Oryzias latipes: one gene and its partners. Each later gene encodes a partner of the first gene's protein in a complex. Links are inferred from orthologs where the notes say so. Each region holds a gene or a part of one and is shown on either strand. Other genes may lie near its edges.

Region 1 (5,604 bases):
TGTCCACAATACGCATCACCTGGTGTAGAGGTGGGGATGGGAATCATTGAGATGTTAATACTACTCCTGTTACTGATACTGCTCATCGATTCGCTTTTCTTATCAATACTTTTCTGTGTGAAAACAAGGAGGGAAAAGAAAAATTACCTGTGTACAGGAAAACCTTTCATTTTAGAAAGATTAAAACACAATGTTAATTTAACATTCTTTGATGTAAAATAAAATGATCAATAAATATTAAGGTCTCTTTGTAATAATACCACCACACCAAGCTGCAGTACTGTTGCAGATTCAGTCTTTCCAGCCTGGTGCAGGTTAATAATTTTGTTTCTGGTGTCCTTAGACAGCTCTTTGGTCTCTGCCACAGAGGAGTTTGGAGTGTGACTGTTTGAGGTTGTGGACAGGTGTCTTTCTATAGATAACCAGTTCAAACGGGTGCCATTAATACAGGTAACCAGTGGAAGACACGGGATCCTCTTACAGGTCTGTGAGAGCCAGAAATCTTGACCAAACATTTATTTTCCACCATAATTCACAAAAATTCTTTAAAAATCAGACAGTGATTTTCTGTATTTCTTTTTTTCATTTTGTCCGTCATAGTTGAGGTCTACCTCTCATCTTTAAGTGAGACCCTTGCACAATTGTGGCTGAAAAAACAAAAAACTTCTTAGCCTCTGTACTTTGGAAATACAGCCACACTTTGGACCTTTTTGCTCGCGGCTGTTCTGCCGTCCACGTGCGGTTTTTGTCACCGTTAGTGCAGGACTATGTGTGTGTGAAAGCACGTGCGGCGGGAGAAGCCCCTCCCCAAAAAGCAGCGAGAAGAGAGAGACAGACGGCCAGTTCTACTAACCCACATCCAAACAAAGTAGTGTTGGCCATGTCGGGGCTGTTGCAACGCCACTATGCCGGTACCGTTAAGAAATACCGTTAAGGCTGAAACTTATATGTCCGGTAAAAACATGGACGTGGCATCGATACCAAATGGTACCGGCTTTGGTACCGCATCCCTATGTAGAGGGCAGGTTAGTGTATTTGTTAATTCACTTGTGTCTTCACAAATACAGGATAAAGTACCATCCAAACACATGAAAGTGAGCTAGCAGGCCTAAAGAGGAAAATGGTGAGAAAACGGGTAAAGTGGCGCCACACCCACCTGGGGCTCAAACCCCATGTCGAACATCCTGTCAGCTTCGTCCAACACCACATAGGTCGCTCTGCGCAGGTTGGTAACCCGACCTACACATCAAGAAAAAGGAGCAGGAGGAAATCCATCACCTTCAACAAAAAGCCACACAAACAGCTTTTTCCAAAATTTTCAACTATATATTTTTGTTAAGATGCTCGTCAGTCTATTATTTATCAAAACAAATGTTCCCTCAGGTGTGGGGTTCTAATCTATTTGCAGTTGTGAAGTGTTTTGTTTTTTTGGCTTCTCTCTGCTCTTGCGTACCATCTTAGGGGCACGACGGACCTGTAAATGTCAGAAAACAGCCTCAAGACAATACAAGAGCTGGCGCCCCATCAAGCATTACCTGACCGAGCGCCTTTTTACCTACAAGGGAAACATATTAGAGATTACCTCGCATGTGTGGAAACCAGAGCAACCTCCTCATTGACAAACGTAAGCAGAGGATGCTTTCCTAAACCCACAGTCCAAGTGAGAATCAGCGGCTTTCATGAGCCCAAAACCACATTTATCACGACACGATACAAAGCTCAGCTAGCAGATATGCTGAAGGTATAACGGTGATGCAGTGTAGACTTAGTGAGCGTTGCAGGTTGGATGAAACCGTGGAAAGCAGCGCCAGCCCACCTACCTGTGCTTGGCCCTGATCTTCAGGATCTTGTAGATCGACTGATCTCCAGCGGTCAAACAACGTCAACAGTTTAGTAAATGGTACGGTTTTGAAATATAATCATGCTACAACATTTAACCAATTAAAAAGCTCTCAAACTGTCTTCTTTCAGTGACATTGTCTTGAATGGGGGGATACAGGCAGACAAACTCACCGCTGTTGGCCCCCAACATGTCAATCATTCTTCCTGGGGTGCACACGATGATCTCAGCTCCTCTCTTCAGCTCAGCAATCTGAGGAGTAACAACCACAGAGTTGAGGTCTTCAGAATCTTCCAATACTCATTACATTCATACATTTTTGTGTTATACTATTTTTTTGCAATCCTGATTAAGTTACTGCAACTTTAATGACTTAAATGTTCTGTCCATCTTTACGGAGATCTTCCTTTAAAGAACCCAGAAAAAAAAAGTCTAAACCGAAAAATCAAAGCTTTGCTTCACTGCCTTGACTATTTATTTTTCAATAAAATAAATATATTCAGAAATTTTTTTTTTATTCCAAAACAACATATTTCAAATCAGTCTAAAAAATCCGTTATTATGAGAAGATTTGCAGTCCAACATTGCAAACATTCCCAATGTTCAGAATGACTTAAAAATTCAAAAACTGCATTTTTTGCTTTACTGTAGATCAATATGGGTTCATGTAGTATACTGAATATCTCACCTGCTCACTGATGCCTGTGCCCCCGTAAACACACACCACCCTGAGTCCCAGTGCTTTGGAGAACTTCTTGCATTCCTTTGTGATCTGCAGAGCCAGCTCTCTGGTCGGCGTCATGATCACAGCTGCAGCAGACGGAGAACAACACATGAGTGGATTCCTAAGCCTTGAGCTTTACATGAGGTACAAATATTTATTATCAATTCTGTCATCAACTATTCACTACAAGCAGTAAGAATTGTTGTTAAAACAGGAAGAACGTTGGTTCTAGTTTAGTTCATCTCACTGCAGTTGGTTCCAGTCAGGGACGTCCTGATCAGGTTTTTTTGGCACCGATTGCATTCAGAGTCATTTGATTTTGAGTTTCTGCTGATACAGAGTCCTGATCAAATGCATAAAAAATAAAGAACAAATGCTATATATGAACAGATCCAGGATGTTTTTTAATTTTTTATCATTTAATATTTAAACAGTGCGTCTCAGTGAAGTATAGCTTTAACAATCAAGTAAACAGAGCAACTTTCAGTAGGAAAAATAGTTAACGATTAACTAGTTGATTAGGTGATAATTAGTCATATGAAGAAGTTGAGGGACTTTAGGTTTAGTATCTTCAGAACTACTGAACATTTTATTATAATTAAGATTCTTGTTTACATGCAAATTAATTAAAACTATAAATGACTTTCATCCAAAATGGTTGTAGCATAAAGATGATGACGAGTTTTCATGACCAGCTTATGTCAGTGTAACATTTGATGAAGTTTGGTTGTTTTTGTCACTTTTTCCTGGAGCTTGCAGTTAGTAAACGGTCCCTTAGCAGCTGTCTCACTGCTGTCTCTGCGTTTATTCTCATCTAAAAGATTTAAAAATATACTTTCTTTAAGGTTGTTTGCATTAACACAAACCTACGGAGACCCTTGCTGTCAGTTCTAAAAGTTTATTGAAGAGTTGTTGATCTCAGAAGTATGACTCTACTCTACAGTTCCTTTACTGAACTGTTTTTGTGCGCCTCCCGCTCATGCTAGTGTGTTCTTCTGCTACACTTTACGGCAAAAGAATGTTGGGATCCATTCATGATATGCAGACTTATAGCAGAGCATTGATCTGTAATAATAAGATTTGAATGTCTAGTGTTGATCACAATAAGGAGAATAAAATAAATATCTGATCCCTGATCGAGATACAACATCCGATTCTGATGAAGTCTGAAACTACGTGATCGGGTCGGGACATTTCTAGTTACAACAGTAAAAAGCAGCGGAGAAAACAAAAAGTTGCAAACGATCTTACAGATGGGTCCCTCAGACTCCTCCAGGGGCCTCTGGTCCATGATGTGTCGGAACATTGGGAGCAGGAACGCGATGGTTTTGCCGCTGCCCGTCTTCGCGATGCCAATGAGGTCTCGACCCGACATGATGGCGGGGATGGCCTGAGCCTGGATGGGGGTGGGTTTATCGTAGCCCTGCCTGGTGGATTGGTGAGGAAAAAGTATTACTAGTGTTTGGTCACGCGTGTTTACGGTTGGTAAACCATCGCATCAAACATCAACTCACTTCTTCAGAGCGGAAAGGATTTTCATGGACACCCCGCACTGCACCCAGGTCTTGATGGGTTTAGGACAGCCTTTTCCTTTCACCATAATGCCTTCCAGTTCTAACCTGTATGCATTCACTTCTGCATGGATGGGAGAACAACCGAGCACACGTGTGAGCTGGAACATCAATGAAGACAAACTAACAACTAAGGAAGTCGTTTAACCCATAGAAGTCCTCCAACGCACCGGTGCGTTTACCAAACACATTGGCGTAGGAATGCCACCATTAATATACTTCTCCTTCAAAATATAACGTGAAGCTTTCAAAACGGTTTCAGCTTTACAAAACATGAAATAAACATAACCCCGAGTGGTGGTGGGCAGCTCGTCTGGGGCTGCTATTCTTCTGGTTGTGATCTCGGCGTTGGGGGCCCATGTGGCGGTCCTGTTGGCCCTGGTCTGGGGGGTTGACGTGTTTGCCATCATTCACCCCAGCAGAACAGAAACACTCACTGGAGCGCAGGTGTGAGCTCACCTTTGCACAAATAGTTTGCGTGACTGAATGAAATGTTTCACACGTGTTGGTCCGCATGCATAAGTATGTGTGTGTGTGTGTGAACAGTAGTTGTGTTGTGTACATGTTTGTATGTGAACATCTTTGGAGATAACAGGCATGTTTGTAACATTTGAGTGAGTGTGGACAGGCCCCGCCCCTTTTAGACCAGCATCTACACCTGACAGCAATGATTAAAAAAATTTCCAACTTGTTGCTTTATGATTCCCCCCCCTATACTTTTCTTCCTTTGTAGTGAATAAATACATTTAACTATAGATCATTTCTTTGGATCTTAACTTTGGCTTACTGACCCTCTGTTGTCATCTTTGCCAGCTCAGGAACCTCCACATAGAAGTTTTTGCGGTAGGGCTCATACTGGATCTTTGCGTGGTCGACAGGTTCCAGGATCTTCCTCTGTTTGGTCTGAAACCCTGTCAGGGCAGTCTGCAAGTCCACCTCCTCTTCCTCTGATGAGTACTGTCTCACAGCAGGAGAATTGTGGCCGTTTATTTCCAGCACAGTCATCGTTTGGAGAAAGGCTGCAGAAAGCAGCTAAAGGCGACCCACCTCCATGGCATCCTGGTCATTCTCCATCAGCTCGCCCTTCTTCTTGTGAGTGCCGGCTCCTTTTTTGGTTTTGACGACTGTCACAACTTTAGTTACCATCATCGCCCCTTTCTGTGGGAAAAAAAGAAAACAAATATCACCAACAGAAGAAGAAAAACAGACGCCAAACGGAAACAGCGTCTTATCCAACAGCAAAATATAAATAAGAAAAATGTTAGCGTGAAAACACTTTACTCACTTTGTCATTTCCCTTCATGTCACTCATGTTGAACTTCTTCACCTCCTGCTTCACCTCCTCCATGTAAGCATCCAAAGGATCCACTTCGTCCTCCTCCGCCTGCTGCTCCATGGGAGTCTCCTTCTCCTGGTCTCCATCCTCCTTCTTTTCCTCCTCTATCTCCTTTTCTTTTCCTTCTTCTTTC
Region 2 (6,222 bases), on another chromosome or scaffold:
ACATGTATAAGTTATATCTGGCCCTTTGAGGACAGCCGCTATGCAGATGTGGCCCTCGGTGTAAATGAGTATGACACCCATGCTTTAGATGGATCCGAATTAGCATCTCATTTATTAAGTAAAAAAGTTAAGTATTTTTAGAGCAGCTAAAATAATTGAATCCACTGCAGTAAAGTAAGAAGGACTTTTTAAACTTTATACATCTCTGACCACATGTCAGCCACTCCTCTTTCAAAATACTCATCCACATCCCTGCTGTAAAACCATTTACTGCTTTAAAACTAGCAAATCTGTCCAGGGATGTGCGGAGCTGAATCGCGTGAATCGGATTTTATTTCCGGATCAGAGAACTTATATGTCTTGTATTCTAATTATGATCAAAAACGACTATGCTAAAAGTCTGCAGGGGTGTCAACATGAAGTAGGGATTCTCGCCAGGACGGACAGGCGACGTACCAGAACTCCTAGAGAAGAATTAGCTTATCTAAATCTACAACTAGATGTTTAAATAGTCCAGCAGACGGGCCTCATCCAGATAGAACTGGGGGACAGCTAGGGGCGCGAGACGAGGTCCACGGCCAAGCTGCACTATTTTTACTCGATTGTTCAAACTTATTCACTGAAGTGCTCTGTTTAAGTCTAAAATGATCAAATCAAAACTAAAAACCAAACGACTCTGAATCTGATCAGGATATCCTTAATTCAGCTGACAATAATTCATTAGCAAGTTTAGTTTGAAAAGGTAGGTATTTGTTTGAAGTTTTACTTTATCAACAACTCAAATATTAGGATGCTACAAGCACAGGTGATTTCATAAATGTAAGTCAGTGACTGAGATGATTGGCGGACCTGGTTCCTTACCAAACCCCCATTACATCACTTTCAGAGCGTCTCTGCCAAATCCTGCCAACTCTGACACTTCCTTCAACGCCGTTTTTCCTTTCAGGTGTTTTTTCTATTTGACAGAGACATGAAGAGGCGTCATAACACTCACCCATGGGGGGTCCATATGGTGCTCTGGGCGGCATGCCCATAGGCGGGGGTGGGGGGAGGTTGGGGGGCGGGGCGCGTTGGGATGATCCTGGTGGAGCAGGAGGAGGTGGAACCATGCCAGGCGGAGCGGGAGGGTGCATGGGCATCTGAGGCATACCTGAGTGACAGAAACGGATCAAACTGGAGGTGGCGGGAAGAAAAACTAGATACTAAAACGAGAACAGGCTTTGACTTTCAGATGTTTATGCGGATGCCAAACAAAGTAAACGCGGCTCTGAGGCTCAAAACCTCTGTATTTCCTCCGACAGAAAGACAAAAACCACTCTTAAGAAGTCACAATGTCTCACCTGGATGCATACTTCCAGGCGGGAAGGGTGGTGGTCCACCTGGACCGCCAATACCCTGTGGGCCACCTGCTGATGGAGGCATCCCCATGCCATGGGCCATGGAAGGAGGGAGTGATCCGGGGGGAGGAACAGGGGGAAAGGCACCAGGAGGTGGCAGACCTGCACACACAAATCAACACAATCTACTTGAAGGACTTGTGGGTACATTTGTTTGTATTTTTGCAGCTAATTGCTAATTTGTATCTGTAAAAACACTTGTTTAGGCTAACACAAAACACAAGTCCCACACTGATCATCCTTTGATCTTTTTTCAAAGCGGTCTTTTATGAAAATGATGATGGTGATGATGCCATTTTTAGCCAAAATCAAAAGATCCTGTGTTGTTTTCTAGAACATAGTTTCTGCGGAATGGCAGTAGTTATGTAAAACTACAGAAAAATCCTTTTTTTTTGTCTGCTTCAGATTTAAATCCAGTTTTTAATTTTTGCAGTTTGCAGTCAAATGCAAGTTTGAGCTACATTTTCTTTGTCTCTATCATCAGAAAAATGCCACAAAAATACATCAAAAAGACAATGTTCATAAAAGCGAGTCTTTAAAAAAACAAAACTATTTTCACATAAATGTGACGTAACACCCACCTCCCATGCCCGGAATACCCATTCCAGCTCCTAGTGTGGTCAGGACCGGGGTGGGAAGAGAGGGAGGTGGTGGGGCATCAGCGAACAGCTGGTGGGGCCTGTCCGCCTGGGACAGCGGATTCTGCGCCGCCAGGAGTCGCTCTGCGGCGGAGCCGTGGCGCTCCCCTTTAGAATCTTTCTTGAAGGCGTACGACACAGTGATGGGCCGGTTACAGAGGTACTGGCCATTCATGGCCTCGATGGCGGCATCAGAAGCATCAAAACTGGCAAAGTTGATAAAAGCGTAACCCTTGGAGTTGCCGGTGTCTGGGTCTCTCATGATCTTTGGTGTTTGGAGAATCACACCGAAGGCACTGAATGTGTCGTAGAGCAGTTTCTCATCGATTTCTGGGTCCAGGTTACCGATGAAGATGTTCGCACCCACATCCAGGTTTTTGTTGTGTGCCGAGGCCTTATTGACTCGAATGGGTTTTCCATAGAGCTTGATCATATTCATTATTTTAATAGCATAATCAGCATCCTCTTCGCTGAGGAATTCCACAAAGCCATAACCTAAATAAAGAAAAACAATTTTGTAAAGATAATTTTCTAAGAAGATAATTGTTCAATCTTGTTGACCAACTGAAAGTGCACTCACCCTGATGTTGACCCGTGACCCTGTCTTTGGGCATGTGCGTGTTTACCACAGGACCAGCCTGCAGGAAGAGTTCCCATAGCAACGGCTCCGACACTTTCTCATCCAACCCACCGACATACACCGTGGCATCTGGACAGACAAGAGCAGGCTTGGTGAGTAAAACACTACAAAGGTTTCCACTTTCTGACACAAGTTAATGAATACGAATTACAAAAAGAAATGACCATATTTATGTTCACTTAAAGTTTCATTAGTTCTTTTTAAAACCATTGTTGAAACTGTGAAAAATTTAATGATCATGCTGCCTGGTAAGAATAAAATGAGGTCAATGAACTGAAGTTAAATTATGAAAGAAGTTGCAGTTGTTTAGTATTAGTTCCTGGCATAAAATATTGCTTTTTCTCTTTCTATTTATAGATTTGCAACAATGGAAATGAGTATACGTTTTTTCACAGCTTAATGCTTATATAAAAGGACGTGCATCTAAAGTGCAAATTCGATAAACGATTAATTGGGAGAATGGCTTTATTAGCTACAAGCTAGGCTAAAGCCGCTTCACTCCATGTGTTTACCCGGTTTCAACAGAAGAATATTAGCTAATTTTAGGATCCATATTCGCTCTATGAGGAAAAATGTGCCCTTGTTGGGTGTTACTACACATTACATACATTTATGCACGGCTAAATGTCAAAAGAAATGGGTAATAATTCCGTAAATTACCTTGGTTTCTTTCAGAAATTGGTCCCGCGGCCATGTTGAATGACCAACGCACCAGAAGCGTTCATGTAGGAAGCTCCGCCTCTTCCTGTTCAGCAAACCGGAAGTTATAATATAAAATGAACTCCTCTTTCAAAAAATAAAATACAATATCTTTGCTTCGTTTTAGATTATTTTTTTAATAGCATCGAACAATAAAAACACAAGACCAGATAAAGTTCAAAACTTTGTACGGACCAATTTATTACATATTTATATACATTTTTATATAAATCTACTAAAAGTATAAACATGGAATACAAATTGTTCATACAAAATACAATTTGGGCATAATAAAACCATTTTTATAAAACAATACTGTATCAAAATAAAATAAAAAAGCATGTCATGCAACAAAGTTCAAAACACAAAAAGCCAATGTTTTCATTTTATAAATGCATATATAAAAATGGGTTAAAAAAGCCTTGATCAATAATAACATAAGTGAAATGCATTTGTGTACAGAGCTGAGACTTTTACATTAAAAAAAAATGAACATTAAGAGCTAAAAATGGCTGCTCATTTAGAAAAGTAAGAAACAAAAAGGACACACATAGGTCAAAGTCTCCAAAAGCTTAATAAAAAAGATGTTCAGATCATTTTTTGATGGCTCTTATGATATTGCAATCATTGTTTCTAAAAATAATAATAATAATAATCAAACGAAAAGAAAAAGGAAAAAAGTCTTTTGACTAATCCAACTTGAGTCACAGACTTAGCAGAAAAAAACAAATTTTTATTTCAGTCAAACTGTTCATTCCTTTTAAGTCTCATTAGAAATCTTTCAAATGTTTCAAGTAACTGAGCAAATTACAGATCCATTATGTAAGAAGTGTAAAGGCCAAAAAGTTTTAATTAAGATGTTTTTGAAAGGTTTTACAATCAAATACTACCTATTTTCTTAAAGTTGTATCAACATAACACAATTCCAAATGGTAGACTTTAATCTCAGTCTTTTGGATAATTTTCTGTTATTTTATGTTGCCAATTCCTAAACTTTTATTGTGCTGCACAAATGCCAGCCCTCCTGCTGTTTAATTTGCCTAAATCCAGACTGATCTTTTAAGTAGAGACAGTCCAATAAACTGCATTCACAAGCGTCTTCAAAAGACCACCGGATCAACTGCCTTCATGTTTATAGGGTGCCTAACTATAAAGATTTTTACTTTTCAACAAGTGTTATGAGGTTGTATTTTATTTTCTCAATGTAAAGTTGTGGTATCTCAAACCAAAAAAGGAAAAGCAGCTCAGAAACTTTCCAAACTCCTTTTTCTAACCTTCTTATTGTACCTCTAACCAACACTGAATCCTGATCCATCTACATTTCAAACACAATCCATACCAGAGCAGCATTGTAGGTCCTTCTGTCGGTGACACAGAGCATACATTCGGCTGCTGGTGTTCTCACCACATACAATGAAGTCTACAATAGACAAAAGGAACATGATGACAGATTACCATCTAATTCTTGTTAAACCTGAGCAGCTGCTGCAGGCATCAGTAAAGCCTTAGTCCTGCGTTCACCTGTACGGTTAAAACTGTACGGCTGTTTTTAGGTTGTCCAGGACCATGGAGGGTTGTAGAGAAGGACGTCGTGAAAGGGAATGTACTATTATTATGGGTGTTGTAGGAGTTTAGTGAAGTTACACATACATGACATGTAGGTGGTGCGTCATACGGTGCCCTAACGCTGCACTCTTGTCATGAGCAAGTTGCGAATACTAGCTCTTTATTGACTGCACACAAATGCTGCACACACGGTGTACACGGGATAAGTACCATATTTTCTGCACTATGTGGTGGACCTAAAAGCATCAATATTTTTTTTCAAAATAGGGCCTTCTATTGATTCTGGTAGCGATTATTGATGTCGAAGCAATTTTGATAGGTACGCGGCACTCTGTCAAAATATTTGGTTATGGTTTAGTGTGAATATGCTAACGCAGCTAACATGTAGCGGTTTTGGTGCGTTTCTAACAAGGTTGGGAGTTAGCGTAGTCACAGTAATGTCTGTTTTAGCGGTTTCAGTCTGTTTTTTATGTGTTGAAAACAACGTTGCGTGTTATTGTAATGGGAATAACTCTTTTAATGTGGCTAATGTGTATCGAGTTACGAACGTCTTGAGTCTGACAGATTGACGGCCTTATCTCTGACTTTTTTGTCTTCGGTGCGCCTTATATATTGCAAAAGTTCGAAAACAGACCATTCATTACCGGTGCGCCCTATACTGCGGAAAATACAATAAGTGCGGTAGGATGCCAGTACAATGCTTACCGTACATCTTCCAATAGTGGCCGGTCTTTAATTGACGCCAATCTAAATAAACGCCGGTCCTAACAGGTGCTCTTAACTTTAAGTCGCCAATAGTGGGTGAGCTCCTGTAAGCCGTATGACCTGCCTGCACCTCACCTACGTCACTCTTCCTAAGGTCGTGTCACACAGCCACTACTTACTTTTGCGCATATTGGATAAAAGAAAATTGGTCATACGTTAACCTACATGGAAAAAGAGAGAAAAGTCGTGGTCTTTATGTGACATTTTCACAGATGTATCACAAATGAACCACGTTAAAACCACAGAAGAAGTACGGATAAACCACCAAAGAACACGTAAATCAACGTCGAACATGAAACGTCCGCGATTATGGCACTGTTAATATGGAATTCATTAGTGATTTGTGTGTCATTTACGGAATTTTAACGTGTTATGTACCCCCGTGTACGCTGTATTAAAGCTATCCATCGGTGGTTCGTGCGTGAAAACGTGGAATAGTCGTGCAAAGCCACACATCTGCGTGTGCCTCTCGCAGATTAACAAATAATTGTGAATGAATATCTTAAAACATGCGTGA
Region 3 (6,236 bases), on another chromosome or scaffold:
TACAGCCAACAGCATGTACCATACTTCTTCCCATATTGATTCATTTCAGGGTATCTAACATATCCAACCCCACCTTATTATTGTACTTACACTTCTGCCATTGTGTTGTGCAGCTTTCCGTAGTTTCTGGAGGCTTTTTTGCAGTGTGGCGTTCTCCTGCTCCAGTATGTTTACACGAATGCTGTTAGCCTGCAGCTGCTTCTCCATGTCCAAAAGGACATTTCCTGTTGCTAATGAACAAAGATTCATACAGTCTAAAAGTTTAGATTTAACATAGTAAATTAACATTGAAAACTACATTTTTTATTCAAATGTTAACAAATGCATGTAATAGTCAATAATGGCCTACTCTGTGGTTGGGCCCAGTTGTGGAGCTCTGGGAACGCCACCAAAATTCTCTCTCTGTCTCTTAAAGCGCGAACACGATCCATCAGTTCATGCAGCTGCTGTTTCAACTCCTCTTCGCGCATTTCTAACCTCTGTTTCTTCTTTTGTAGCTCCCCACACAGGTCCTGAAGTGCAAAAACACACAGCAAGTGTCTCTAAATACAGGACAAAACTATCTTTGTGGGCAAACCTGTAAATTGAGAATGTTCTAGTTTGATTTGATTTGATTTTATTCTACCTGCTGTTGAGCAGTCTGAACCTGCAGTTGTTTCTTCTCGTCTGACATCTGTTGCAGTTCATTGTCTAACTTCATTTGGGCCTCCTCGCTGTCCACCAGCTGCTTCTTCAGCTCTTCACACTCTTCATCAAGATCTTCAACCCTCTTTAGCAAAGATTTCTGCTTTACCTGTGTTGACTAGACACAAAATAAAGCAAGAAAACATCAAAATCTATATTCAGATTTCTTCTTAACGGGTACCGATTTGAGGTTTCAACATCTCAAGCTGATTTAACATGTAGTTATAGATTTTTCTTTTCTTTTTGAGACACAGACCTCTTGCTGACGGCAAGCACTCTGGTATTTGGCCCTCTCCTTATCAAGCAGCAGCTGAATGTCAGAGAGTTGTTCCTCAAGCTGATGGATCCTTTGCTGCTGTTGACAACATGCCTCCTGGTCTGTTTGTAGTTTTTTTACTTTCACTTGCAGAAAATTATTTTCACTTTCTAAGAAGGAGGACAAAGATTTGTTATGTAGTAACACAGCAATTTTATGAAAAAAACGTTTTTTTGCTATGAAAATGATAAAAACAAATGAAGTTAGGCTATTTTACCTAGAGTGTGTATGGTGTCTTGCTGCAATGCTACCTTCTCCCTAAGTCTAGCATTGGTCTCCTCTGAAGAATGGATTTCTGTTTTAAAGAAATTGAAAAAACAAAAAAGTTTAAACATGATCCTAACTTGTTTTTATTGTGCTGGTTAATGTGATTAATACCTTTTTTAAGCTGTTTATGCTCCTCCTGTTGCTTTTGTTCAGTTTGCTTTGCGCTTCTCTGTGCTTCCTGCAGTGAAAACTCCAGTTGTTCTATATTTGTTTGCTGTTTTTCTAGTTGTTGTTCAAAATCCTTCTGCACTGTTTTTAGTTGAGATCTGATGGCCTCACGATCCGTTTCAGCTGCTGCTACTCTGTCTTGGAGGGGCAGTACCGTTCCCCTCACATCCTGCAGGTGTTTTGCCAGCCTGCGCATGTCTCTGAGCTGTTCATTGGCCCACTGTGCAACATCACCTGGAGTCAGATGTCCCACCCTCACTGTCTCATCCACAACTGCTGAGAGAGGCTGCAGAGATGAGGGTAGACCTTCACTTTGAAACAGATCTATCAAAGATTCTCCAGTTTTTCTCAAAAGAGATTGCACTTGGTGACATGTACCACAAGGGATGAGGGACGTTTGTGCAGTCTGGCAGCTGACATTATGGGAGGCAGTTTTAGGATGGAATGAGGTTTGTTCGGGGGAACTGATGGTGATGTTATTTTGTGGGAGGAATTTAAATGAGCTTGTGGAAGACCAGGATATGGAAGAATGCCTGGAGCAACTTGTGCTGGATCTATTGAGAGGGGACTCGACGTTTGACTCATCAGATTCCACTGAATTTGTCTTTTCTGCAATGTTTTTGAAGAGTTCCTAAAAAGACATAAAAGGCATTTAAAGTCAAATACTTTTGCATGTGTTTTTATCCCTGTGGCATTACTAGAAAAAGAGGTTTCTTTACCTTTTTATCTGCAAATTGAAGTAAATCCCCCCAATAATTCCTGACCACAAGACCAACTGACATGCTGCCTCTGTGTGCAGCTCCTTCTGGTCTGTGGACCCCCATCTGTTGTTCAGCATAAACGCTGACGCTTTGAAGAAGAAACAGGAGCCTTGTTGGGGAACAAGAACATGCAGAGATGCTTTTAAAGTCATTATATATATATATATATATATATATATATATATATATATATATATATATATATATATATATATATATTTTACATGCAATACAACATTAGGTTACCTGTCAATCATCAATTCCAGGAGAATAATGTGGGAATGCTGATTGAAGTCATCTTCTCCTGCCACGAAGTCATATTCCTCCAACAAAGCAACAATGTCTAGATGACAGGAAAGTTTGTCCGGGAATTTCCAGGAGGAAGCGCAGACTGGTCCTGTTCTGGAGAGCACGTCCAGAACCGCACCCTGAATATCGATGAGGTCTTTTCTTAGATTCTTGATAGAATCCTGACGACCCAACAACAAACTCATGTCTAAAACGCTTATTTGGCGCCTATAAGTACTTGTTGACGTGAGGTCTCCTTGGCAACAGTTAACTCCAAGTCCCACAGTTCTTAGCGGATATTTCCGGAAGTAATTGGCCGCCATTGCGTTAACGAAAACGAGACGCGGTGAGTATTAACGTCGACAAATAAAGAATTATAGCTGTATTAGCTATTACTTTTTGACTTACAGAATTTTTTTTAAAGAATTCATTTCAAAATATATGTGTGTTGCTTTAGTGTTTTCAGGTAAAATTGGTGATTCGTTAAAAAGACGCAGCCATGCCGCCCGGGCCTGTTCAAATGGTTCAGCCTGAGCCTAACAACAAGGTAAGGACGCTAACTAGCTAACATTAGCCTCAGATATCCGTCGCTTTTCTTAATGATTTATCGCCTTATAAAATTCGCCCCCTTTATGCAAAGCTTTCTAAGCCTGTCCAAAATTAAATGCTAATGTTTATAAAGCTGTAAAACATATGGGGCAACGTTTGCGTCTATATGTGTGGCCCTAAAAATTCCCAAGTTGAGAAAGTCAATAAAATTAGGTAACAGATATTACTTAAACTATGATTGCACTTCAATATTTGGTATCTTTGCATATGGTTTAGACTAAATGTGTTAGTTGTATTCTCAGGTTTTTAATGATCGAGTGGTTTAATGTTTAAATTGTTGCAGTGTATCTTAGAATTACCTAAAGTAAGTCTTATTAATTAATAAGTGAATTGATAATGTTTGTGTAATAATATTTTTAAGGAGGAACTTCACTGTACTTGATGTTATTTTTAAATATAAATATTCTTACTTTGAACCTTCTCTTGTCAGAATGATACACCTCCGGAGGAAACTCCAGCCACTAAACCTATTGTTGGCATCATATATCCTCCTCCTGAGGTCCGTAATATAGTTGACAAGACTGCGAGCTTTGTTGCCAGGTTGGTTGCCAAAGAACTGTCACGTACAGCTGTAAGAGGTGTTTGCTATCTGTAGTTTGACTCTATACTTGTCACTTTACAGGAATGGGCCTGAGTTTGAAGCAAGAATCCGTCAGAATGAGATCAACAATCCAAAATTTAATTTCCTCAACCCCAACGATCCCTACCATGCTTACTACCGCCACAAAGTCAATGAGTTTAAGGAGGGCAAAGCTCAAGAACCGTCCGCCGCAGTGCCCAAGGTTATGCAGCAGGCTATGCAGCAATCTCAGCAGCTTCCACAAAAAGTAAGGACTGTCTATTTACTGTGCCCGGACCTACAAGGGTTTATATTTATACAAACTTGCCTTTTCTTCATCAGGTGCAGTCCCAGGTGATTCAGGAAACTGTGGTCCCCAAAGAACCGCCTCCAGAGTTTGAATTCATAGCTGATCCTCCATCAATCTCTGCATTCGATCTTGATGTTGTGAAGCTCACTGCCCAGTTTGTTGCACGAAACGGCCGTCAGTTTCTCACCCAGCTCATGCAAAAAGAACAGAGGAACTACCAATTTGACTTTTTGAGACCCCAGCACAGCCTTTTCAACTACTTCACAAAACTGGTGGAACAATATACCAAGGTAAAGGACAAAAATTACAGCTTTCTTTGTTTTTTTATTGAAACTGTGTTATTGAACTTTTTTAAATGTTGCCTCAACCTTTAGATTCTGATCCCCCCAAAGGGTCTGCTGGCCAAACTAAAGAGAGAGGCTGAGAATCCAAAGGAGGTTATGGACCAGGTAATTTATTTTAGCCTTCAGAAGATTATTTTCTATGTTTAAAACTGTCTTGTTACAAACATCAGGTGAGATACCGTGTTGAGTGGGCAAAGTACCAGGAGCGTGAGAGAAAGAAGGAGGAAGAGGAGCGAGAGAAGGAACGCGTAGCCTATGCTCAAATTGACTGGCATGACTTTGTCGTGGTGGAGACTGTGGACTTCCAGCCCAATGAACAAGGTAGCATGACTATAGGAACACCAGGTCCAGATGTTGCAAGAACCATAGTTATTAATTTATTCATTTGGTGTTTTTCCAAGGCCACTTCCCCCCACCTACCACTCCAGAGGAGCTTGGTGCTCGAATCCTCATCCAGGAGCGCTATGAGAAGTATGGAGAAAGTGAGGAGGTGGAGATGGAAGTTGAGAGTGAGGATGAAGAGGATGAACGGGAGAAACGAGCCGGAGGTCAACCCTCACAGCCTGACCAAGACACACAAGTGCAGGACATGGATGAGGTAAACAGTTATCATTTACTACATTTATACAAAGTCCAACACTTGTCTAGGTTTCTTGGTTACTTGTGTAGCAAATTCACAAATTTAAAATGCTACTTCTCCAGGGATCAGATGATGAGGACGATGGAATTAAAGCTCCACTTCCACCTGACAACCCCATGCCACCTCCTCTGCCCCCGACTCCAGACCACGTCATCATTCGAAAAGACTATGATCCCAAAGGTACATTTTTTTCTGTGATTGAAATATTATGAAGTATAAAAACAAGCAAATAAAACAAGCGGTGCATTAAAACTTGTTTCCTTTTTTTTTTTTTTTTTTCACAGCCTCCAAGCCTATGCCCTCAGTTGCAGCTCCAGATGAGTACCTCATTTCACCAATCACTGGTGAGAAGATCCCAGCCAGCAAGATGCAGGAGCACATGCGCATTGGTCTGCTGGACCCACGCTGGCTGGAACAAAGAGACCGCAGCATCAGGGATAGACAGACAGAGGATGAAGTCTATGCTCCTGGTCTGGATATCGAGAGCAGCTTGAAGCAGCTCGCTGAGAGGCGTACTGATATCTTTGGTGTTGAAGAGACAGCCATTGGTAAGAAGATTGGTGAAGAGGAAATCCAGAAGCCAGAGGAGAAGGTGAGTTCCGTAGAAAGTAGCATGGTTTTTGTGAAAAGCATCATTTGAACTCGTTTTTTTATCAACCTGATAGATTTTTTGTGAATACGCGTTCAACTTTTGTCTGAACTTTTTGGATTCTTGTGACGTGTCCAGGTTACCTGGGATGGCCACTCTGGAAGCATGGCTCGCACCCAGCAGGCAGCGCAGGCCAACATCACTCTACAGGAGCAGATCGAAGCTATTCATAAGGCCAAAGGCCTGGTTGGAGAGGATGACACTAAAGAGAAGATTGGTCCAAACAAGCCAAGTGAAAATCATCAGCCTCCCATGCCCTCTTCTGCAGTCAACTTACCCAAACCCAGCCCCCCAGTCTCATCTGTGCCTCGACCCCCTGTTTCTGTAAGTGTCCGTCTGAAAGGACTTAAGTTTGTGTTGCGTTAATGTAGCTTTCTGTGCACAAACAGATCTCTGGGCAATTGAGGCACAAACATATTTTTGAATTCCTTGACCTAGACTTTCTTCTCTGTTTCACTGCTTGATAACTAAACTTTACCTTCCCTTTCCTGGAACTTGTTTTTCTCTTTTGATGGCAAACAGATGGCCCCTCCGGTGCGGACCACTCTTCTGTCTGCTGTGCCGGTGCTTCCAAGGCCTCCTGTGGTGCGCATTACCCCAGGCCAAGTTCTCACATCAATGCCTCCCATGATTCCTGGCCC

What was found. Proteins that work in one complex are often made in the same cells at the same time.
Region 2: ddx46 (region 1) and sf3b4 share a complex: the UniProt entries of both Homo sapiens proteins name them as parts of the 17S U2 SnRNP complex. The link is inferred for Oryzias latipes from reciprocal best matches to the Homo sapiens genes DDX46 and SF3B4.
Region 3: ddx46 (region 1) and sf3a1 share a complex: the UniProt entries of both Homo sapiens proteins name them as parts of the 17S U2 SnRNP complex. The link is inferred for Oryzias latipes from reciprocal best matches to the Homo sapiens genes DDX46 and SF3A1.

What each region holds. Positions count from the first base shown.
Region 1 is NC_019872.2:3,745,585-3,751,188, forward strand, and holds part of ddx46 (probable ATP-dependent RNA helicase DDX46), read right to left. Parts: coding exon 5,421-5,604; intron 5,294-5,420; coding exon 5,183-5,293; intron 5,093-5,182; coding exon 4,927-5,092; intron 4,200-4,926; coding exon 4,079-4,199; intron 3,992-4,078; coding exon 3,816-3,991; intron 2,651-3,815; coding exon 2,529-2,650; intron 2,093-2,528; coding exon 2,014-2,092; intron 1,240-2,013; coding exon 1,157-1,239; intron 20-1,156; coding exon 1-19. UniProt on the Homo sapiens protein: Component of the 17S U2 SnRNP complex of the spliceosome, a large ribonucleoprotein complex that removes introns from transcribed pre-mRNAs.
Region 2 is NC_019869.2:7,214,583-7,220,804, reverse strand, and holds the start of sf3b4 (splicing factor 3B subunit 4), read right to left. Parts: upstream 3,430-6,222; 5' UTR 3,370-3,429; coding exon 3,336-3,369; intron 2,745-3,335; coding exon 2,616-2,744; intron 2,531-2,615; coding exon 1,979-2,530; intron 1,500-1,978; coding exon 1,341-1,499; intron 1,151-1,340; coding exon 995-1,150; intron 1-994. UniProt on the Homo sapiens protein: Component of the 17S U2 SnRNP complex of the spliceosome, a large ribonucleoprotein complex that removes introns from transcribed pre-mRNAs.
Region 3 is NC_019867.2:18,885,411-18,891,646, reverse strand, and holds the start of sf3a1 (splicing factor 3A subunit 1), read left to right. Parts: upstream 1-2,807; 5' UTR 2,808-2,830; intron 2,831-2,941; 5' UTR 2,942-2,983; coding exon 2,984-3,031; intron 3,032-3,523; coding exon 3,524-3,633; intron 3,634-3,715; coding exon 3,716-3,920; intron 3,921-3,994; coding exon 3,995-4,252; intron 4,253-4,336; coding exon 4,337-4,411; intron 4,412-4,476; coding exon 4,477-4,627; intron 4,628-4,707; coding exon 4,708-4,904; intron 4,905-5,008; coding exon 5,009-5,126; intron 5,127-5,230; coding exon 5,231-5,538; intron 5,539-5,673; coding exon 5,674-5,919; intron 5,920-6,117; coding exon 6,118-6,236. Other genes in the region: ccdc157 (coiled-coil domain-containing protein 157), read right to left, coding at 91-230, 350-512, 626-802, 941-1,110, 1,218-1,295, 1,379-2,066, 2,155-2,305, 2,443-2,807. UniProt on the Homo sapiens protein: Component of the 17S U2 SnRNP complex of the spliceosome, a large ribonucleoprotein complex that removes introns from transcribed pre-mRNAs.